6 linked regions of the Coturnix japonica genome follow. The protein of the gene in region 6 interacts with the protein of the main gene of each other region in a biochemical or structural test. Links are inferred from orthologs where the notes say so. Each region holds a gene or a part of one and is shown on either strand. Other genes may lie near its edges.

The links.
Region 1: of the proteins of IKBKB (region 6) and TNFRSF1A, one has a biochemical effect on the other in vitro, tested with the Homo sapiens proteins (2 studies listed by BioGRID, with this or other methods). The link is inferred for Coturnix japonica from reciprocal best matches to the Homo sapiens genes IKBKB and TNFRSF1A.
Region 2: of the proteins of IKBKB (region 6) and NFKBIA, one has a biochemical effect on the other in vitro, tested with the Homo sapiens proteins (58 studies listed by BioGRID and IntAct, with this or other methods). The link is inferred for Coturnix japonica from reciprocal best matches to the Homo sapiens genes IKBKB and NFKBIA.
Region 3: of the proteins of IKBKB (region 6) and MAP3K7, one has a biochemical effect on the other in vitro, tested with the Homo sapiens proteins (5 studies listed by BioGRID). The link is inferred for Coturnix japonica from reciprocal best matches to the Homo sapiens genes IKBKB and MAP3K7.
Region 4: of the proteins of IKBKB (region 6) and NFKB1, one has a biochemical effect on the other in vitro, tested with the Homo sapiens proteins (4 studies listed by BioGRID and IntAct). The link is inferred for Coturnix japonica from reciprocal best matches to the Homo sapiens genes IKBKB and NFKB1.
Region 5: of the proteins of IKBKB (region 6) and MAP3K14, one has a biochemical effect on the other in vitro, tested with the Homo sapiens proteins (3 studies listed by BioGRID and IntAct, with this or other methods). The link is inferred for Coturnix japonica from reciprocal best matches to the Homo sapiens genes IKBKB and MAP3K14.

Annotation. Positions count from the first base shown.
Region 1 is NC_029516.1:71,182,997-71,186,496, reverse strand, and holds part of TNFRSF1A (tumor necrosis factor receptor superfamily member 1A), read right to left. Parts: intron 1,057-3,500; coding exon 855-1,056; intron 560-854; coding exon 431-559; intron 272-430; coding exon 128-271; intron 1-127.
Region 2 is NC_029520.1:32,789,818-32,793,987, forward strand, and holds the start of NFKBIA (NF-kappa-B inhibitor alpha), read right to left. Parts: upstream 2,801-4,170; 5' UTR 2,696-2,800; coding exon 2,382-2,695; intron 2,137-2,381; coding exon 2,028-2,136; intron 1,569-2,027; coding exon 1,358-1,568; intron 866-1,357; coding exon 777-865; intron 664-776; coding exon 403-663; intron 1-402. UniProt on the Homo sapiens protein: Inhibits the activity of dimeric NF-kappa-B/REL complexes by trapping REL (RELA/p65 and NFKB1/p50) dimers in the cytoplasm by masking their nuclear localization signals.
Region 3 is NC_029518.1:68,395,939-68,399,979, reverse strand, and holds the start of MAP3K7 (mitogen-activated protein kinase kinase kinase 7), read right to left. Parts: upstream 2,801-4,041; 5' UTR 2,646-2,800; coding exon 2,556-2,645; intron 1-2,555. UniProt on the Homo sapiens protein: Serine/threonine kinase which acts as an essential component of the MAP kinase signal transduction pathway. Plays an important role in the cascades of cellular responses evoked by changes in the environment.
Region 4 is NC_029519.1:54,747,493-54,750,992, reverse strand, and holds part of NFKB1 (nuclear factor NF-kappa-B p105 subunit), read right to left. Parts: intron 1,635-3,500; coding exon 1,433-1,634; intron 439-1,432; coding exon 269-438; intron 1-268.
Region 5 is NC_029542.1:888,616-892,115, forward strand, and holds part of MAP3K14 (mitogen-activated protein kinase kinase kinase 14), read right to left. Parts: coding exon 3,265-3,500; intron 2,788-3,264; coding exon 2,718-2,787; intron 2,380-2,717; coding exon 2,169-2,379; intron 2,054-2,168; coding exon 1,445-2,053; intron 1,044-1,444; coding exon 906-1,043; intron 420-905; coding exon 290-419; intron 1-289.
Region 6 is NC_029537.1:4,090,047-4,093,546, forward strand, and holds part of IKBKB (inhibitor of nuclear factor kappa-B kinase subunit beta), read left to right. Parts: intron 1-530; coding exon 531-619; intron 620-861; coding exon 862-951; intron 952-1,327; coding exon 1,328-1,452; intron 1,453-1,779; coding exon 1,780-1,887; intron 1,888-2,176; coding exon 2,177-2,306; intron 2,307-2,714; coding exon 2,715-2,897; intron 2,898-3,079; coding exon 3,080-3,194; intron 3,195-3,500.

The sequences.
Region 1 (3,500 bases), on a different chromosome or scaffold from region 6:
TGTCCCAAAGCTGAAATCGCTTAAGGGCAAGCTGCTGCACCACAGTAGAAAGCAAGGAGAGGGATGCTAACATCTATCTTAATGGCATCTGCCAGTAGATATATCTGTATACCCATGCTATACTTACAGTTAGCAATAATTCCATTAACACACGGACTGCAGTTCTTACACTGGAAGAAATCAGCCTGGCCAAACTGATATTGATTCTTCCGACAGCCACACACGGTATCCTGCTTTAGGGTGCATGGGGTCACTTCTATCTGCCGCAATTCTGAGGAAAGGAATGAAAAGTGACTGAACCAACTCTACCTTCAGCTGAGACCACTGTTATGACAACAGTTGTTATTAGCCCCTAATCTACACACTTTTTTTTCCCAGACCCTCAGCTACTACTACCACCAGTTTTCCCCAGGGCCCACAGATAACTCACCTGTACGGCACCGTGTACACCGGAAGCATTTTTCCATGATGTTGTCAACAGCTGTGAATGTGCCATTAGGACAGGGAAGACAGACAGGGGCCAGATCAGGCCGTTCACAGTCTTTTGACTTGTAGGTACCTGCAACAAAAACAGCTTAAGAGAGATCTGACAGGAAGATACATGTGTTGTCTTGGGGAGGATTGAAGTCACTGAATCCTCAAAGAAACCCTGGAATCTACAGGGAAAGGACTGAGCATATATCTTCTCACCAGCATAGAGGAGACTGACAGTCCAGGAAAAGAGACAGGAAGAAAGAATTCCCTGTCAAGGAAACGGAGCACTGACGTCACTATAGAACAAGATAGAATGAGAGCACGGGACAAGGGAATGCAACTGAGGTGAAAAGTAATGCACTTATTCTACTGAACTGTACCTGCATGGCACCTCATGCAGCAGTGGGTCCCTTTGGGATGTCGGTATTGTCCAAGCTGACACTGCACCTGCCTCTTTTCTCTCCTTAAGAGGTTAAAGGGATCTCTTCCATCCAAAGTTACCCGACGGAGTCGCAGCATATATGGCACTGGAGCAATTCCTACTGATTCCTCCATCAGCACACAGACAAATGTTAAGATAACCTGCAAACAGCAAACAGGGAAAGGGAGAAAAAGAAAGAAAAATGTTAGAGAATCTCTCATCTCCTGGCAGACTGCACAGCTGACTTCAGCAGTGCTCAGTATTAGAGGGAGCCATGCCTGTCATATCTATTAATACAAGCTAGCTGTACACAGAGCAAATATTTTTGGTGATGTACAACATATAGATGGAACGCCTTGAAGATGCTGCAGCTTGCAAGAAAATTAACCAAGAGCAAAGGAATGTTTTCATTAAGGAAAAGAATAAGTCAATCTAGAAACAGTTCCAGAGAGAAGAATGCATCCAGTACCTGCAGGACAACTGAATAAGAAAACCAGATGGCAAGTCTGGAATAAAAAGGCACAGGATGATATCACAGTAGGGTATTCAATTCTAATTTAATTAGAATTACTTTAGCTATAGATTATTATGTTATTGATATTATTTATTTTAACAATATAAATGACTGCCTTGACTGCAGTATGATGTGTGCATGTATGCACTGGAAGGAAGAGCAGAACAAAGGGTTAACGAACAGCTTGAATTGCAAATGGACACCGTTCCCAGCAGCAGAATTGAGAAATGTTCTGTTTGTGTCATGGCCAAAAGGTCTGCATCCTGCTAGGACCACAGAACAGATGAGTCATCAGCCAAAGACCCTGCGCATGAGAATGTGGGCAGACTCAGCACAACACATGAACAAGTCCTCAGACTGCAGGTCCAAGAGAAAAAATAGACCCTGTATTCAGACAATCAAAAATTAAACAACATCAACATGAAAAGGAATACCATCTCTCCTGCCCATAGAACTGCACACTGAGCTTTGTTATACTAACTTCTCTACATTGCGTTGCAGTGTGTTCCCAGCTTTCATTTTTGCAGTCAATAAGGTACCTTGCTGCCCAACTACACAGATCTCTTTTTGCCTTTTTTTTTTTTACTTTTGGCTACGAGGGCTGTAGCAAAAGAAGAGCAAACCAGTAAGGGTAAACCACAACGCTGATACCAGCTTTGTGGTTGCAATCTTCAGAGAGGATATGCAAAATGAAATGGCTATGACAGCCCCACGCTACCCTGTTTCTGTCCCAAAATTAAAGCTTTGGAGGAGAAAGTTAACACGTTTAAAACCTTAAGAAGGATAGGGCTTGGCGACTCTAACAAAGCAATAACTCATTTTTTTCCCCCAAGGATTTCAGAGCTCTTTGTCACACATCAGACATACTGAAGACACCAGCTGCTAAAATAGTAACAAGTTTAAAAATAAAAGAATTTTTAAAATCACATATTTAAATAGCTGTCATTTCAGGCTTGATTAGCTGACCGCAGGATAAATGCAAACATTCCAAAATTAAGTAAGAAATAACATTTGTTCCAGCAGCCTCACAAGATTGACTGTCTGTGGGGAAACGGGTAAAAGATCGTTCACACAGATGGTCTGATAGGAGCAATAAAAAACTGGCCCTTCAGCCAATGATGCATCTTCCAGCAAGGGAATATATACAGCTAGTCCAAAAGTCAAACAAGCCAGTAATATAAACAACAAAGGGAAGCATCAAAGATCGTGCCAAAAACAGATGCAAGATTAGTCACATACATCTCCAGAAAGGAAAACAGGAAAGGTGTTTGCAATCATTCAGATTAAGTGAAAGCACATCAGTAAGTGTAACCAAACCAGAATTAGTACATTCGTTATTACTGATCAAAATCTGAGGATCAGAGTGTGTCAGACCACAGATGACTCACAACCAATGATTCAGCCCTTTAAAAGTAAAAAAACAACCCACCACCATCTTAAGCAACTCCCAGACCACTGAGCAGTTACACTTGTTTACACCCACAATAAAGAGTTCAGGAAATACATGAAATTATCAAGCAAGGAAGCCTCAAATCTAGGCGGCAGGTTGAGTTTACAGGTCCTCTACAACTGAAACGAGTGGTTTTCCGCTGCTGGACATTCAACTCTCTGCTCTAATCTCACTTGCCAGGAGAACAAACAAGTGCCCAAAAATCAGCATTGCTCAGAAAAATGGACAGCCTGGATTACCGAACCGAATGATAACTCAAACCACCAAACCACACTGTGCACATCGGTGATTCATGGTTTTAGCTAGCGGGTGCTGCCCAGGAAAAACGAGTCAGTAGAAACTCAAGGCTTCAATTCTGAAACTGACGCAGAAATCAACGTAATAACCGCAGGTGAAAACATGCACAACTTCCTCAAGCCGTTCTGCTCCTCCAGGTGACAGCCACGCATGCACGCTCTTCACCTGGGAAGCAATCCTAGCTCCTTCCCATGCCTTCCAAGCAACTTATTGGCTGACAGCTCCAGTTGATACAACAGTGAATCACACAAATTAGCAGCTCTAGGAGTTGGGAAGAGAATAAGAGTGAGGAGACTCCAAAGAAATCAGGGTGCAGCATCACCGTTCTTGTGTGATTGCTTCAG
Region 2 (4,170 bases), on a different chromosome or scaffold from region 6:
TGCCCTAACTCCAGTACGTCTGCAACTTCTACACTGAAATGGTTACATTTGCTATTTAACCATCACAAAAACAAATGCTGGGAAGACCAAACCCACCCATTAACTATTTTATCTCATTAAGTTCTGTAGGCATCAGCTCAGAGAAATAATACAGTGTGAAGCTACCCTCTGTTACCCACTGTATTATTTATATTTCACTCCTAAGCTCATTCTGTTTATAACCTTGCCCTAACTGCCACCCTGCCCTAACTGCCACCCCTCTGATGGCTGGCAGTACAACCTTACTTCATGGGCTGTAACCCCCAAAAGTTACATAGGGAAGAGGTCATTCACTGCAGTACCAGCCAAACAACAAAGAGCAGGATGTGACTCTTCTCTTGAAAAGAAGCAAACAGGACTTACTTCATCTTCTGTGAACTCTGGCTCTGATTCACTGCTCTCCTCGTCCTCACTTTCGGGCAGTATCTGCAGGTCAGCTGTGGTCAGCAGCTTCAGCTGCTCCTGTATGCTGGAGTTGTCTCGTCCCCATGTAAGCTGGTATGGGGAGTAGCCTTGGTAGGTCACTTTGTTCACATCTGCCCCGTGTTTCACCAGAAGTGACACCAGGTCTGAGTTCTGCAGGTCTACGGCCAAGTGTAGTGCTGTTCTCCCATTGCATGGCTCCTGTTTGGATACAACATGAGGTATTGCATTAGGGGAGTGAGGCTTAGCACTGTCACACCTGTTGATTCTTCCGACTAGACAGCTCACTTAAATTCATAGCATAAATTACATACCTGAGCATTTACATCTGCTCCTAAGGACAGCAGGTACTCAACAACAGCCAGGTATCCTTGAATAGATGCCAAATGGAGACATGTATGTCCTGGAAGATAAAAACAAAGGCAAAATTTGAGTAAGTCTTACCTAATGCCCCATAACTTGTTTAAAGTCAAGATGATAAGACAGAAGAGTATCTAAGTTAGTAAATCAACCGGGGCAAAACCATGTTTTTCAAAACAGCTTTCCAGCTTCCTGATAACAGGGATAACTGGGTTGGATTTTGGATTGGGTTGGATTTCTTAGGGGATCTATTCTAGGTTTTAACTGTGCCTTACTGTAACAACTTTACCCTCTAAAAAAAAAAAAAAAAAACAACCCACAAAAACATAACTGCTATGAGTACTGCAGAAGCACTCACTAAAAATACTAAATTTAAGGCCCATGAGAGCCAATGACCATGAGCGAGGAGGCCCGCAAGGCTGAACCCACAACATCTTAAGGAAGTCAGATGCTTCTTTGCTTTGGGCCCTCCTCAGCACTCCAATGGGAAGAAGATACTTCTCTTGAGATCTCTGCTAGGGCAGAGCACACGTACCATTGTAATTGGTGGCCTGCAGGACGGCGAGGAGGTGGTGGGGCTGGCAGTGCTGTGTGAGGACGCTGACACAGCGGAGCGAGCCCTGCTGGCAGGCAATGTGGAGCGGGGTGTTCCCACGGAAGTCCCTGACATCCAGGTCACAGCCAGCCTTCAGCAGGTGCTCGGCGATCTCAGGCTGGTCAGTGATCACCGCCAGGTGGAGAGGAGTCTGCAGGCAGGAGGGAACACACGGCTTTGAGTTATGTGACAAGTTTAGCAAAGGTTCAAATACACAAACCCTGCAGTGGCTATTGAGGACTTCTGCCCAAATGCAAGTACTGCAAGTCAGTTCTTAGCGCTTCCTGGCACAGCACACTGCTGCTCTGTAGTCTGGTAGCTATGGTATGGTATGGTAGACTTGGGGCTCTCCAGATATCACATATTCTATCCATATGGAAGGGCATCATTAACATCCCAATGGAGAGGAATGCGATCCATTGCATCGCGTATGAAAAACGCGAGAGGCTGCAGCAGGACAAAGCGCTGCACCCCCACCGCATGGAGTGAGCCAGGTGCTTTCCCCAACGTGGGCTCCGACTTCACATCCATTCAATTACACAGAAACTTCTCCTCGGGAATTCCCCGCGGGCCTTTTGCGGGGGCGGCCCGGCCCGGGGGCGCAGCGTACCTGGCTGAGGTTGTTCTGGAAGTTCAGGAAGGCGCCGTCGCCACCGGCCTGTCGGATCACCTCCAAGCTCAGGGACTTCTCTTCGTGAATGATCGCCAAGTGGAGGAAACTGCACCGAGGAAAAAAGGAAGCGCCCCACGTGAGACCCAAATCCCCCCAGCGGGACGCGGCTGACGCGGCCCCCGGCTCACGGCCGCAGTCATGTGCGGGTTTCGAAAGCCGGGGCTTTCCGCACCGCGGAGCCGCCTCTTCCTGGCTCCGCTCCAGGGACTTTCCGCGCTCCGCTCCGCTCCCCGCCCGGCGCCTCCCCGCCGCCGTCGCGCCCCGGCCCGGCCTCCCGCGGCCCCGACTTACGTGTCGCCGTCCTCGGTGAGCTGCTGGGCCCAGGCGTGCGGCCGGGCGGGCGGCTCGCGGGGCTGCAGGCGGATGTCCTCCAGCTCCCGCACCAGCTGCCTGTACTCCTCCTCCTTCATGGAATCCAGCCCGCTGTCGTGGCGGTCGTCGGGAGGCATCGGCCCGCCCTGCCGCTCCTTGCGGGGCGGCTCGCAGCCCTCCACGGCGGGCGGCTCTGCGGGGCGGTGGGCGCTGAGCATGGCGGCGGGGCTGGAGGGGCGGCGCGGCGCCGCGGCTGCTGCTGCTGGTGGCGGCGTTCCGACACGGACGGGCATCCGCGAGTGAGCGGCGGCGGCGGCGGCGGCGGCGGCGCCTATACAGCCCGGCGAGGGGATTTCTGCGGGGGAGGAGCCGCCGCCGCGGGAATTTCCAGCCACTCGGGCGAGCCCGGTCCTGCTCGGCGCCAGGGGCGGGCCGGGGAGGAACGGGGCCGGCCCAAAGCAGCGCGGCCCGGCCCAGCCCGGCGGAATTCCCTGCCGTGCCTGCGGGGGGGAGGGGGAAGTACTCGCCGTCCCGCTGAGTAACGCGGTGCCTGCGGTACTTCCCTGCGGCGCCCGGCCCGCTGCCCTGCACCGCGGCCCGCCCGGGGCTTCCCCGCCCGGATCGGGGAGAGGGCCTCCCCGAGGAGGCATTAACCAGCGCTCGTCTGACCTGCGTCGGACCGGGGGCATATTTCGGCCGGCTGGTGGCGAAGTGACGCGGTAAAGCCAGTCACTGTCCAGACGGGTGGATGCAGAGGCTCCCGTCGGTACGCTGAGTCCACCCTGCTACACGTGTTCTGTCCTCGTGCCCGTGCTGTCCCAGCAGCACCCACACCTGTCCTATGGGGCTGCCTGTCCTGCACCAGTCCTGGGGGAGGGAAGCAACACACTTCCCTGCAGGGCTGCAGAGAGGAGCTTGTCTGCGCTGACCCCATGTCCCAAAGCCTTGAGGGTGTCACAATGATAATATATATATATATATATGTTTAGAGAGATTCATACAGTCTTGTGCTTGACTTGTGTTAAACTGTCATACTGGCTGCAGGCCTGCAGGTATGGCATCAGCCTTCGTAACAACTCACCTCTCTGCTGTGGAAGATTTTAATCTGTCTCAGTGGCATGGGATGGAATAGGCAGGAAAGTCCTGTTCCACTCTTTGCACACAGTTCTTGCCACGGACTCTACAGAACCCTTCAGAACGTTTGTGCAGATTAAAAAAACAAAACAAAAACCAATCAAACAAAAAACCCCCTTTTCCCCCTTAAAAAGTGTTATATCCTGTCAGCATCCTTATTCCATGTCCATTTTAATTTTTTCCTCTCTGCTTTGTACTGGTGCCCTCCCATCTGCTTGCAATGAAAGCTGGCTGAATGCAGCCTCTCATAAGGATTAAAGTCAGTGTGGGTTTAGTGATGCCGAACTTTTCCCTGGTGAATTTCTCTGCTGCTACTCAGATGTGGGGGATTCCCATTAAGAATTTTTCTTCTCTTGCAGCAATTGCTGGCCTGGCTGACTAACTGCCCGAGATGTGCTCCAGCCACTTTCCCGTGGGATGATGTCTCTCTGCAAGAGGCCCTGGGAGAAAACCCAGAGATGAAAGAGGGAGGAAGATCAGAGAGGGCACGTGGGTTCCCAAAAACAGCTGGTCCTGGTTTCCAGCCCAGCCATACCATTCCTGGCCTTTTTCTCATTATTCATCTCAAGGTCTGGGACAGCCACCGGTGATTTTGGGCAGGTTTAGGAAAGCCAGGCAACTTTTTCTTTTATAG
Region 3 (4,041 bases), on a different chromosome or scaffold from region 6:
TGATCAACTAAACCTAGATGGAAGTGCACTCATGGATCTCACGTTTATTAGCAAGGACTCAGTGCCTGCAAGTATTTCAGAACTTCCATATCTATTAATAAACCCGTGGCAGAGGAGAACTGCTATCTGCTGACAAGACAGCCTTGATAATACAACAGCAAAGCTATGATTATACAAGCATTCATTTGAGTTTCCACTGTAGATCTGTTGACACTCCAATTTGAAACATCTGAAGCTCATCAGGTACATAAAAAATAGACCATTTCAAGTACTTATAGCCAGATAAAAACCTTTGAAAGCTTCTGAATCTGCAGTGAAAGTACTGAAATTTTTCATCAACAGCGTATGGTTTGTTATGACTGTATTGTTGGAAACTGCACCATCAACTACATCTATGAACACCCACACGTAAGAACCATGCTTAGGCCTTGCTTTCCTTAATCCACTTGCTTTAATGTAAGGTAGATCTTAACTCTTCCACTGTGCAATGACATTTAGATTGTATTCAGCGCTATGGTAGCCCTGTTGCCTAATAAGACTTTCTTGTAGGACAGGTATAAAAAGCATAACTCAAAGTGTTACAACAGCTGTCAGCAGCCTTCCTCATGACAAGAACACTTCATCAGGGCTCCCTTGCTTATATTACATGAGATTTGTCACCTCCAACAGAAATACTACATGGAGGGTAATGCAACAATCACATTAAATAAAGCACAAATTACTGCTTAGGCATCATATCTACAAAAACGTATGTACATATGTTCCTGTCTCTGCAAGTGCTAGTACGGCAAGTATGTAGGGCATATCCATGCCCTGAATGCTAAAACTCAGAATGATAAGTTCCAGTTACACCAATTACACGCTGTGCAACTCCACATTTCCTACAAGCAAAGGCGAATATAGCCCTTGCTAATAGTCTTTCCAAGGGTGCTGTGAGGATTAAGGGTTTGCACAGTGTTTTACTCATTCAAAGTGTTATGTGTAAGGCATTATATGTACTACTCACTTTCAGGAGCCATCACAGAACAACTTTTCATGCTGGCTAAATTCCTACCAACTTTATTTTCTTCTTTGGGTGAGGAAAGCAATTTCTGCTGAAAAAACGTGGTTTGATCCCTGCCCATCAGTAAGTGATGCACAAACATCAACACATTATCAAATGATTAAAATACTTTTCGTTCCCAAACATCATAAAATACTCTCATTTCACAACAGTTAAACTTATAAAGTGAAGAGGAAATACTAAACAGTAAAAAAAACCCAAAAACCCATAATGACTGCAATATACAAAGAAGATTAAGGCTATCTTCTGGAAGGCACTAGGAGAGCTTCCAGTGTCTGCAATGGTGAAAGCTGAAGGTACCCTGATGCTATCCAAATACATCACAAACTGCTCTGGTGTTCTACTGAAATACCAAAGACTTTGTTTCCTGAGCTTTCCCAGGCCATGTGAGCCCAGTATAGTGATTATGACTAAACCAATGTCTAGCATGTCACTCAGCGTGAGACAGTGCTTGTAATACCCATGAAAGCTACTACAAATAGCTAAATTTACTTCCACAAGAGTATCTTAAGGAAAAGAAAGAATATATATATATATATATATATATATATATGTATATATAATTACTGAGAGACAATAATCAACAGATAGAAGCACTGTTTCAGCAGTCTTGGATATCTCTTTGACCCTGACCACAAACTAGCCTGAATAAATTCAGCATGTATCTGTGTAATGCAGAGGAGAGAAATCCAACAGGAATATTTTGTGTGTTTCTGAGATTTGAACACCCCTGCAGTAGATATATGTGCTTTAGTAAAGGACTCAAACTTTACCAGCTACAAGAAATCCAGGAGGCAAAACAGCAGGTATGAAATTCCGCACTGTACCACAGTTACAACTTCAAAGAACTTCAGAGAGTCACTTCACTGTGAAACTTTGTACAGAAGAGGGAGATATACTATGGTACAAGGTAACCCAGTGCCACTTCCTGGGTAACAGTGACAAGTCACAGATGAAGTGTTACAGATCTACAAGTGCAACATAGTCAGCCTATGTTAAAAATAAGAAGATGTGCGTCAACTGTTGGAGTTGTAACTTCAGGAAATCATTGGTACCGATGTGATGAACATACATGCAACGATGCAGTTAGGTGGCAAGAGGAGAATGCAGAAACACTCAGAGATCTGAAAGGAACAATGAAATTAACAGTTTCCCCTCGTGACAGTGCTTGACAACTCTCCATACTAAAACGGGTGGTGGTGTAGGAATTTTGAAGCCCAGAACGAACTGGGCTAAAATAAAAGCCCACATTGCAGCCCCTCGCTCTCGTGTCCTCAATAAGCGAGGAACCTGGCACCTGCACACCTTTCCCTGCCCGGTGCCAAAGGCTCTGGCTCCCAGAGGGGCATACAGGTACGCACCGGGAGACCCGCAGCGCCGCGACCCCTTCTGAACACGGAACGCGGCTCGGACAGGCGGCCCTGGAGCGGGCGGCCCTGAGGCAGGCGCCGCTTCGCGAGGCCGCGCCGGGAGAGGCCGGACTGCCACTCACCTCTTCCACTTCGATTTCTTTGTAGTCGATTTCTTCGAAGTTGAGGACGGGGGGGGTTTCAATCATTTCAGCGGAGGCGGCAGCGGACATCCCTCCTCTTTCACCTCGGGGAGGAGAGGCCAGGGCAGGCCGGGGGCCGCGCTCGGTGGGCCGGGCCGGCTCTAGTCGGGGCGCGGCGGCGGCTCCTGCCCTCCTGCAGGGCGCAGGTCGGCGAGGGCCTGGCCGAGGCGCCGCCGCGCAGGGCGAGGCCGCATCCGCGGCGGCCGCGGGCCTCAGTGGCGGCGGGCGGGGGCCCCGCCGGCGGCGCCGCCGCTCTGCATCCCGCGCCCTCCCGCACCGCGCCGCGCTACACCGGCCGCCCTAGGCCGCGGCCTCTCCGGAGCCTGGGAGCCGCCTCGGCCGCAAGTCCCCGGCGGAGGGAAGGGGGCGCCCCTGGGGCCGAAGCCGGCCGCCTCCGCCCGCCCCGGAGGCAGCAGCGGGCGAGGGGCCGCGGCGGGGGTGGGGGAGCCGCTTAGAGCCGCGCCGCGGCGGCCGCTGCTGACATCAGAGCCGCTTCCTGCCGCCCCGGCCTGGGGACGCGGGGGAGGGAGCGCAGGGGGAGGGGGCGGGAAGAGGAAACGCGCCGGCAGCCGCTGCTACTCAGGCGGCCGCGGAGGGGCCATGGCCTGGCGGCGGCACCGCCGCTCCGCCCCCCGCCCCGCCGCCCGGCTCCGCCAGGGGGAGCTCTGCCGGCCCCGCTTCCTCTGCCTACAGCGCTGGCGCCGCGAGGGGCGGGCACGGGTGGCGTGTCCCTGCCCCGGTTCCTATCCCGGTGTCGGCAGGAAGAAGTGCGGGGTGTTTCGGGCCGCGGCTCTGAAGGCAGGAGCACAGTGCAGCACTGAGCTGTACAGCAGCACTTTCTCACGAAAGTATGTGTGTAGGAGGGAGGCGGAGGAGCAGAAGGTAATTTACTGGTGTAAACACATAGCAGACAAGGGATAGGACTGGGGAATGAACACACACCTCCACCACTCCCTTTCCTGTCCACAGGAAATCCAAGCCTGTCCTCCCAGCAGCGAGTGCCTGCTTGCACTGCTGGCTTGAGCAACGCATCTGTATCTTGGTGATCCATCTCCCAAGTGTAGCGTTTAGAGCTACCTACAGTGTGAAACATACGGTGGGACGAAGTGAGTATGACTCATGTGTCTCACTGTGCATAGCCCCAGCGGAGTGCATTCAGTCTCCATGCTATGTAGAAAAGTTATGCCACTGTAAAATACTGTTAATAGCATGTAATTTTAGTAGATTAATTTTAGTGAGCATTCATGGCTTTCTTGCTGAAATGTTTGTACCTCACAGTGATGTCAAGTAAATGAGGTAGGAAGCTGATTTACAGAATAAGTCTGGAAAAGCTGCTTAAGCAGTTAACTAGGAAATAGAAGACCAAGGAGGAACATGTGCAGTAACCTACCATCGTGATGACTCAGATGATATTAGAAAAAGTGGA
Region 4 (3,500 bases), on a different chromosome or scaffold from region 6:
TGGGGTTACTCAGTGCAAATTAAGCACGGCGCAGGCAGTCAGGTCAGGGTCACCAACTATATTTCTCAGCTTACAAAAGGTTCATCAGCGGTGCTGAATGACTAATAGCAAATAAATAACATTAGCGATAACTTCGCCATTATGCTGGTTAAAGTAATCGAGTCTATAAAGAGAAACATGACTTCGGTTCCACTGAAGGCTGACATATTGAAAAAGCCTTGAAAATATGTTTCTGGGAAGACCAGGGGAAAAGAACTTCTGCCCTCACCTCGAGCAAAAGGCAGCCTGCCAAGGGGATGTTCTCCTGTTCAACAGCTAAATGCAATGCAGTTCGTCCAGATTTTTGTTCCTGAGCATTGACGTTAACTCCAGCAGCAAGCAGCAGTTTCAGACAGGACAAGCTATTGGCGATCACCACCATGTGAATTGCACTGAGACCTGCACAGAACCATTTGTGTACATTAACACTTGAACAACACAGAAATGTCACAGTGATGACTTCTTAAGCAGCTACAAAATGACTGAGTGTTACTGTATTTATCTGAGCACCTTTGCCTGTCTAAGCACCAAAAATGGTGTTAATTAAAATGTTCTTTGTGCACAAAGTTGGAATTATTTGTGTTACTGATGGGGACTAGAAACCATGCATAAAAAAAACAATCAGCTAATAGCAGGGCTGGAACAGAAGGGAAGAAGGAAGAGCTCACCTTAGAATGTTGTTGAAACATCCTGGAGAGTGACTAATGCTCGTTAAGGTCAGACAGCCCTGGCACCTCAACATTAACTGCAGCGGCTCAAAAAGAGAATCATAAAGCTTTCTATTTATAAATAAGAAGAAGAATAGACCCTCTCTGAGGAACTTAACACAGGTTTTTAATTCACATAATGACATTTTTAGGTCAGGTATTTTACTATCTACACCTAGTGCAAGAGTACTATATTCAAATGACCCGTGCCATTAAATAGTGGGAGAGTTGGGTCTCCATGGGTATTTTATAAGCTTTAAGACTCTGTGGTCCCAAAGTTCCAGAGGTGATACTTGACACAGGTCCAGAAATGCCTTTTGAGGGGATTTCATTCACTAGAGAGGAGGAAATATTTTCAGGTGGAATTTCTTTAACAGTGGTTCTGTAGGGCAGCTCAAGAGGAACGTAGCTCTTGAAATTCTGTGATATTGAAGAAGAAAAAGTTCCAATTCACACTGCAATACGGACATTGTCAACCTCTGTGTTCTGTCTAACCACAAAGCCTGCGCGTCTTTGTTCTCTTAGCTGACTGCAGGTGTGTAAAAGCCAAGGATATAATGCGCAAACCATGGAAAGATGCGACTTCCAAAGTCTGTATCTATGTAGAAAGGCTGGGCTGTCAGAAATGGTGCGGTGCTTGTCTAGGCAGTAAGTAAATGTGAAGTACAGGCACTATTGTTCCATACCTTCACCATTGGAAAGGTCGATCATTGAAGATGCCTTCTTATGCTTGAGGAGCAGACCCAGAATCTTGTCATCTCCTTCAGCAGCAGCTAAATGTAAGACAGAGTTACCGTGGCGATCCAAAAGGTTGACATTTGCTCCAGCCTTCAGCAAGTCTTCTACCACCTCTGCCTGCTTTGTGATTACTGCCAGGTGCAAGGGGGTCTGCAAGGGACAGAAGTGAGCCATGAGAAGATGAGCGGCAACTACACGCCTTTACAGAAATCGGCTGAGCCAATAAAAGCACCTCCTGTGGGGTGCTGCTCCACTTTTAATGCTGGCGCAGGTGAAAAACTTCTGTACATTTTCTTCTGCTGTATAATACAGATAGGGTTTCTACTTAGTGGAAATAAAAGCCACCTCACTGGTGTCAGCAGTCAGACCTGAGGAGGAAGGCAGACATTGCCTGCTCTGTGCACTGGGGGACTAACCTGGCTGTTTGTCATGCAAGGGACTTGGGAAATGAGAATCCCTGTACTCCCAGAGGCAGTAATAACCCTGTTTACAGCTGCCCCCTGCCAAGCTCCTGCCACAGAAGGAGCGCACACACTTTATAGAGCCTGTTCAGCTCCGCCTCCGCAACTGAACCATACTCTAATTTTGCTCCTAAAAGTTCCCAGCCACAGGTTTAGGATCTCCTTATCCTTCAAAACAGCTACATACAAAAAGCAGAAAAAACTCGCAGTTCTGTTTGTCAAAGCTCAGAGTGCACAACGTCATCGAGCTGATACTGTTTGCCTGGTTCCCATCTCTGCACAGACACCCGCAGCACTGAGGCTCTCAGGCTGAGATTTCAGGCTTTTCCAAAGGTTAACTGTATTCTGCATCCTCGTCAGTAAGAAGCTTCACCAATCACAAAGTATACACTGAACAGTGAGGCACTGCAGTGCTTTGGGAAATCCTATTCCTCACAATAAAACAATCTGAAAAACACAGAAGATTCTATCTCCATATCATTATTTTTATATTTACAGATGACTGTAAAAAAGGAACTAATTTCAGCTCTATACAATAAGCTTGTGTTTGTCAGTGGAAACGCCAATGTATTTGCAATTAATTACTTGAATTTATACAACAAAGCATGATTCATCTTTCAGAGTATCTGTGCAGAAGAAAACCTTAGACTCAACCTGCATTTCCTCCCATCACTGGCTTAAGGTTAAAGTGGAAGGTAGAACAGCTGGAGAAGTCTGGTAGTTTGAGATTTATTTCTTGTATGGGGCACAGTTTTACTTCCTGTTTCTGTTAAACAGAGGGCACAGAAATTCAATTCAGAATCTTCTTGCTTTCATCACCTTCCACATTTCGAACTTCCTTTATGCGAACACAAAAACGAAACATGAAAGAGAAGAAAGAAGTCGCAATAAAGCCTCTGAGATTATCTGCACAGAATGAAGCCTTGGCTTTACCGTTTACAGCTTGGTGCTGAACAGAAAGAAATGGCACCAATCTCACAAGTGCTCTGTGTGCCATCCAGCTGGGTGCCTTTAGGACAACGGAATGGTGCGCATGGCTGAAAAGAGCTCCTTGTACTGGCAAGTTTTCACAGCTCTTTTTAAAGCCCATCTAAGTTGCAGCAGAAGAAGCTCAGTCTGTGTTACAGATAAGGAGATAATTGTGCTGGGCTGCTGACAGTTACTTCCCTGCTGGGTAAAAGACGTGCTTTTTTGTGTGCTTTAAATGTTACACTGTGAGCCAAGAAACAAAAGAGAAACCTTGGTGCTCATACAGCGGGCACAAGGACCTTCTAGGCTACAGAAAGACACAGCTGCTACAAGCTTCTTCAGCAACTCAATCATGACCCTGAGTTGTCCTGCATTACAAAGTTTGAAAGATCCCAAAGTCGCCACATCTCTGGTTTAATAATAGAGGAGCCACATAATGAAAATACAAACTGAAGAATTCAGTAGGATTTGGGGCTGTTCTATGATAAACAAATGGAGACATTTCTCTTAACACCAAGGCAGTTAGGAATTAACAGAGGAAAAAGCACACCCTTGTTCTTCCACCTCCTTACAGCATGTCACCGCG
Region 5 (3,500 bases), on a different chromosome or scaffold from region 6:
GCACCCAGGTTTGTCTGTCCAGCGTGCTCTGCCATCAGGCAACACGCACAGATAAACACAGCACCAAAACCAGGAGGGAGCAGCTCTGTGTTTCAATGGGAATGTGCAGCTGGAATGGAGCAAGGCTGGGCTGGAAACACTGCCCAGAAACAGCAACAGCAGCCAGACACCCACGGGGACAGCAGGCGGCTTCCCAGCACACCCACGAGTACAGGGCTGGGGCACCCGATAGTTAATGAGATGGGAGGGAGGAGATCCGTGTCACTGTGCTGCACCATCCCTTCCTCACCCTCCATCAGCTTCATGAAGATGGTCACCCAAGGTCCCTCCTTCACAGCACCATACAACGGCACAACTTTAGGGCTCGTTATCACCGCGCACGTCGTTAACTCCTCTGCACGGAAGTGTTCGACCTGCACCTGGAGGAACAGAGGAACGGATCTGGTGACGCCCGTCATGTTTTTCTGTGTGCTGTAGCTACGTTTGTTTCTATCCAGCTGAAAAACAGAACGCTTAAAGGAAGCCTGGATGAGCCTCATCTGCTGCCTCCATGAGACAGCCACTGCACTGCAACCAATGCAACGAGTGAAGGCTTTCAGATGGATTTTCACACATAACTCATCTGGATTCAATATAAACTCCCCCAAAACACACACACACACACACACACACACACACACACACACACACACAAATACTCTTTCCAGTTGTCTCCGGCAGCCATTTGAGGAACAGTTGCACAGAGGTGATGGAACCACGCCAGCGTTACGTGCAAACAAAGCACTTTGGATTCTCGTCGTCACCGTGCTATGACCACACCTACAGCCTGCATGGCGACGGGACGCCTTCCCTTTATAGAGCCTGGTCTCCTACATCACATCACCCCCCTCCTCACACATAATTACCTTTTTGGCAGCGCATTGGAATCCCGTCTGCTTGTCCTCTACTTTGTACACTTCTCCAAAGGAGCCGATGCCCAGAGAGCCGTGGCACTTGGTCCAGTGAACCTCTTCTCGGTACTCGTAATCCACCGGCTTCAGTTTCTAGGGGAGGAGAACCACAAAACAAGATGAAGCAAGCAGAGAAACTTTAGCTGCTGTCGGTGGAGCTGAACAGCTCCCAACAAACAGTACAACATCACTGCTCTAAAAATCCACCAACTCAGTTTCTTCTGTCGCTGCCTTGAGGTGAAACAAAATAGGCCCAATGCTCAGAAATGCTTCCCCCAGACAAGCAAACGTATGGACAAATGAGAGTCTCCAAGCTAAGCCGGGGCTTTATATCCTCCAAAGAACAATGTCACATCTCTGCCTGAAAGTGTTCAACCGTATCGATATCCCCTTGGAAAAGGCAGCCTTGTGACAGAAGGATACGGCTTCTCTCTTTGGAAGCCCAAGAGAAGCTCTGCCTACCACGACAGGACTGTGTAGGATGGGAAGATCACCTCAGTGAGCAGCACGCCTTCATTCTCATCTGCCTTTTGAAGCTGTTCCTTCAGGTCCAGACCGCCTCCCCTCCACGTCTTGGCAAGGCTGGCCAAGTTCTGCGGCTCCCCGAGGCTCACGCTGCCCTTCAAGGCGTCCACCAAGTATTCTTCCACAGAAACCTTGTCCAAGCTGCTCTTCATGGACTGGCTGACGCACTTGGGGAAGCTGAATCCCAAGTTCAGGCCAGACAAGCGATGCTCACTGTCTGGGTAATTGAGATCGTGATGGAAATATGTCTCCAGAGCATTAAGCTTCATGGGATGGATAGGACTGTCCAGATGTGGGAATGGAGGGGGCAGGATGTTGTATGGAAAAGGACGGACAGTTTCAGGCTGAGGGACGTTGTCCCTCTGGTAGTGCAGCTTCCAGACATGATTAAGGCACTGGACAGGGCTTATCAGCTTGTGCAGGTCAGTTTTGTGCTGGCTGCCCACTGAATTGAGTTTGCCTGCGGACAGAACTTTCTCGGGTTTCTGAAACGGGGGTGGATCGTAAAGCCAGTTCTTGTTCAGTTCTGATAACCAAAAGCTGTTTCTGTAGAGAGCACTGTGGTGTGTTTCATCCTCCTAGGAAACATAAGAGAACAGTGGGAGCCTCAGGACAGTGCCCAGACACAACCAGGAGGGCTCAGTGCTTTGTAGGGGTCCTGGCAACACAACACGAGCACCCACAAGGTCTCACCTGTACGGGAATGGGAGTGCAGCTCTCCTGTTCTGGAGTTCTGGGGCCCCGTCTGCCAGCAGCCACTGTTTGTATTTTCAGCTTGGATCGTTTCTTGTGACGCTTCTTCCTCGCCTTACCACGATGCCTCCCCCTCCAGCAGGTGGGAGCCATCCTCCCCTCCGTCGCGTGGGCCACATTGTTTGGGATCTGATCGAGGCTGTCTGAGCGGCTGTTGGAAACCAAGACGTGTGAGAGCTCTTAGATGGGATGGGGAAAGCACAACCTCAGCTTACAGCTACAAACGGGGACAAGAAGACTGAGCCTTGAGCTGCTTCTATTCACAGCCCTTTTGCTGATGCTGTTATTAAGCAGAGGTTCTCTTCCCCTTTTGTTTATCCACCCCTGAAAAGCAGCAGGTCTGCTCAGTGATTTCAGACAAAGCTGAGCTCCCAGATGGAGCAGCAGAGCAGGCAGCACTGACAGGGAGACAGCACAGAGAGCACAGATCTATCGACCTGGATGGGGCAACACACAGCAGTGCAGCATTTGTATTCTGGGATCTCTCACCTGTAACGTTTGCTGTGGGCAATGAAGGATCTCTCTGACAACGTGGGGCTGAACTCCTGGCTGTTCTCACCTATGTGAAAGAAAACAAGATCACTGCACATCTTCAGCACGATGGTAAGAAGGAGGAGGGGAACCCCCCCCTCCCAATGTACTAACCCACATGGAGACCCAGCAGAGCCACAGCACTGCACCGCCACCTCCTGATCCCCTGCTGTCCCCCACCTGACCCCCTCTCAGCATTTCTACCATTATTAGTATTGTAGAACGCTCCTCAGCAGCAGCCAAGAGCACAGGCAGGACTCTGTGATGCATTTCCTGCCATCACAGCGCAGCAGCCATGCACTGCTCTGTTACTCCGTGCCATTCAATAATGCTGCCACATTATTAAGAGGTTTCATGCGCTGCCTAAATAGAGCCCAGGATGTGTCAGCAGCTCCACCCCACGTGGGATTACAAATAGATCCCAGCTGGGCTCCCCAGGAGAGTGAAACCGCACACCGCCTCGCGCGGCCCTTCTCAATGAACAGCAGCGCTCCCTGCTACTCACACTCTGCCTGGGCAATAATGGAGATGGACGCGCAGCCTCCTTCTGTTTCTTCTTTTGCTGTTCCTTTGGTGATGACGTCGTTGAGGATTTTCCACTGGCTGTGGAAGATGGCTTTCTTGGAATCCTCCACTTTGCAAACGCTGCTTTGCTTCTCGCTGGCGGCCTCGTGCAGCCCTTTGGTGGCACTGAGCTCCTGCTGCTGCTTGGTGGGCGGAGCGGGAGCTCCATGGCACACA
Region 6 (3,500 bases):
ATCTTGTCTAGGTAGAATTTCCTAGTTTTGGGGTTGCAGTGGCTCTGTGTGAAAATTTGGGAAATTCTCATGAATCTGAAAAATTTTGGGAGGCGAAATGGGTGGAGCACCACTTTATGAACAGAGCAGAACAAGATGTTTGGCTTTTGGATCCTGATTTAAGACTGTTGAAGAAATGGGCAAAGAAAAGCTCAGTATAGCCGTTCCTTCAGTGAAGACATGCATTTTATTTCTGCCAGCTGTTACAGTTCTTTTTCAGCCTTTAGTTGGGAATGGGTACAGAAAATGACTTGAAGAGAGGGGAATGTACTGTAACTGTTAAAGATGTCACTGCCAAGAGAACAAATTTGTGTCTGGATGTGTTTGACACTTTTTCCTCTTGCACTTGGAACTTTATTTTTCAGTCAGTGATCTTGTCCTTTGTACAAGATTCAGCTCAAACACCATGCTTGTACCACATAGAAGTGAAACTTTTGCAAGCTCATACTATGTACTTCCACATTCTTAGCAAGTGGCTCTTTGTGTCTCAGCCTCTGCTCTCAGGTACCTTCATGAGAACAGGATCATCCATAGAGACTTGAAACCAGAGAACATTGTGCTGCAGCAAGGAGAGCAAAGGGTAAGCAGTAATGTGGTGTCTGCCTACACAGACAAGTAAATGTAAGTGGAGAAGGTGCATGTGCTTGCTGCAGTTACAGTGGCGAACATGCAGAAGCAGTCAGCCTAGGGTAACAGCTCTCTCAGATCTGTGTGTCATTCAGCACCCTTCCTGTGTGTCTTTGAAGAGCTGAACTGTTTTTGTCTGTTGTACGTGTGCAGCAAAACTTGCCTCTAGTGTTCTTCTTTTGTTTTGTTTTTCAGTTAATACACAAAATCATTGACCTGGGATATGCTAAGGAGTTGGATCAGGGTAGCCTATGCACATCCTTTGTTGGGACACTGCAGTACTTGGTAAGGAAGGTATTCAGCTAGATGGGCATCTCCCACTTTGCTGTGGGACAAAGTTAATAGTGCAATTCAAGTTTGGACTGGGATGAAGTAATCATCTTGGTAGGGGGTGCGTTTGGGGTGCTGCAGCTGACAAAGATAACGTCTGCCCCGTTTCCCCCCTCTTTTGCCTTCCACCCCGATGGATTATCATAGTGTCTATGATAACACAGTGTATTGTATTTATGAGAAGCAGGAGTATTCTGTGAGATCTCAAAGCTCGTGAGAGGCAGTGTTTCAGCACAGCCATTAATGTGATACAAATGTTATTGAGCTCTTGAGGGACAGAGAGAACTGAGAGATGGATGGCTTTGACTTCTGCGTGTGTAAACTGTCTCAGGCTCCAGAGCTGCTGGAACAGCAGAAGTATACGGTTACAGTGGATTACTGGAGCTTTGGCACACTGGCTTTTGAATGCATTACAGGCTTCAGACCATTCCTACCCAACTGGCAGCCAGTACAATGGTGAGTGACCTTGGGCCAGGTGATAAAAAGAATGCATGCGGTGCCATTGTCCTGTCCATGGGAAGTAGAGGTGTGGTCCCTTGATTCTTTAGGGTAATATCCCTGTATTCCATACCCTTATGGAGATTGACTTCTTTTACTGGAGTTTGATCTGCTTGAGCAAGTTGAGCATTCCTTAGATTTCTCTTGGGAATCGGGACTGGCTTCTGCAGGGCAGGTAGCAGAAACTAAAGCAATGTCTTTGTTTTAACTGTAAAAGTTTGCTAACGTGTGTGCTGGGAAGGGCAAGTGATAACTTCACTGTTGTACTTGCTTGGAATTCATTAGGCACACGAAAGTGCGACAGAAGAGTGAGCTGGATATTGTTGTTTCAGAAGACTTATCTGGAGAAGTCAAATTTTCTAGCAGTTTACCCCGCCCAAACAATCTAAACAGGTGAGGACTAGAAATCTGTCGTGATCTGTTGTGACGTACTGAAATGAACTTCCTACTCAGAATGGACCACGTTTTATTTTATATGCTTTTCTGTAAATAAGTTGAGTGCTTGGCACAAACAGTGCTTGTGCACCTTATCAGATGTGTAGGTGTGTCTCCATTTCTCCTTCTAAAGAGCACATTTACACTTGGGAAAAGAAAATTGGTTCAGTTTTTCTGCAGAGACTTGTCCATGTCGTGATTATAGATGCACTTTCTTTTCTGATCCGTTCTTGCTTTGGTCCTTCAGTGTTTTGGCTGGGAAACTGGAGAAATGGCTGCAACTCATGTTAATGTGGCACCCACGGCAGAGAGGTACTGATCCTGTCTATGGGCCCAATGGGTGTTTCAAAGCTTTGGATGACATCTTGAATTTGAAGGTGAGCAATGCACCTGGGTTACTTTCCCAGCAAGCAGTTGAACCTAGTCCATGAGACAGAAGCCTTGAGTCATCAGCCTAGGAGGTGGAGCAGCACAGAATCTTACTTAGCAATGTGCTTTTCTCATGCTTCTGGGAGTAGCAAGTAGCTTCTGTATGTTCTTGATCCTGCATTCTGGCAAAGAACTCTGCTGAAAAAGCTGTTTAATTGGCACGTGAGCTCTTTTCCAGCTGATGAAAGATGAGGTCTTGAGCATATAATGTTATGAAGTAGCTGCAAAGTGACTTTTTGAACTTTGCATGTGCTTTGAAGCAGTTTATTGGTGGTCAGTGTCTCAGTCCAGAGATTTCTGCTCAAACATAACCGTTTGTTTTCAGCTGTTCTCATGTCATGCTGATCTCCTTTTAGTTACTGCATGTTTTGAACATGGTGACGGGAACTGTGCACACCTACCCTGTGACAGAGGAAGAGACCCTGCAAACAGTGAAGGCCAGGATCCAGGCAGATACAGGAATCCCAGAGCAGGATCAGGAGCTACTGCAGGAGGCTGGTCTTGCATTGTTTACTCAGAAGCATGCAGCTGATAGCAAAGTGAGTCTGGATATTCCCCTTCCTTGGCTGTTCTGCAAATTTGCAAGTGCAGCTCTTGGGACTACAGCACTCCCTGCTGTTCTGGTCATGTTCTTTCTTGGAGAAGAAGAGCATTTTGTTTGTGGTGTTACTGGTGTTTGCTGTTTTTGAGAGATCACTGTTGTGTCTTCTGTCTTTTGCAGGTGAATGATGCTGCAGCTGCAGACACAGACCTCCTCTTCCTCTTTGATAATCAGAAAGTTGCCTATGAGGCTCAGGTTGCCTTGCGACCTCATCCGGAAAGTGTTGACTATATCCGTAAGGACTTTCTCTAGTACAAATGTTCATGTTGAGAGGGCTGTCTGTATTCTGTAGTCTGTATCGTGGGCAAAGAGCAGAGAGAGATTTTGTATATTGGCACTAGAGAAGCAATAAAAGAGCCTGGCGTGGCATTTATTCAGCTTTTAAAAATAACTGAAGGAAGGAAGGGGAAGCTGCAAAGATGGTAGCCAGCTCTAAAGTTTGTAAGAGGTGGGGTCTTGGCTGCATGCCTTTCAAGGGAGTGATGTTTTAGTCTGTTTTGTCATGTGATAATGCTACTTTTAAGCTTCATACTGATTTCCC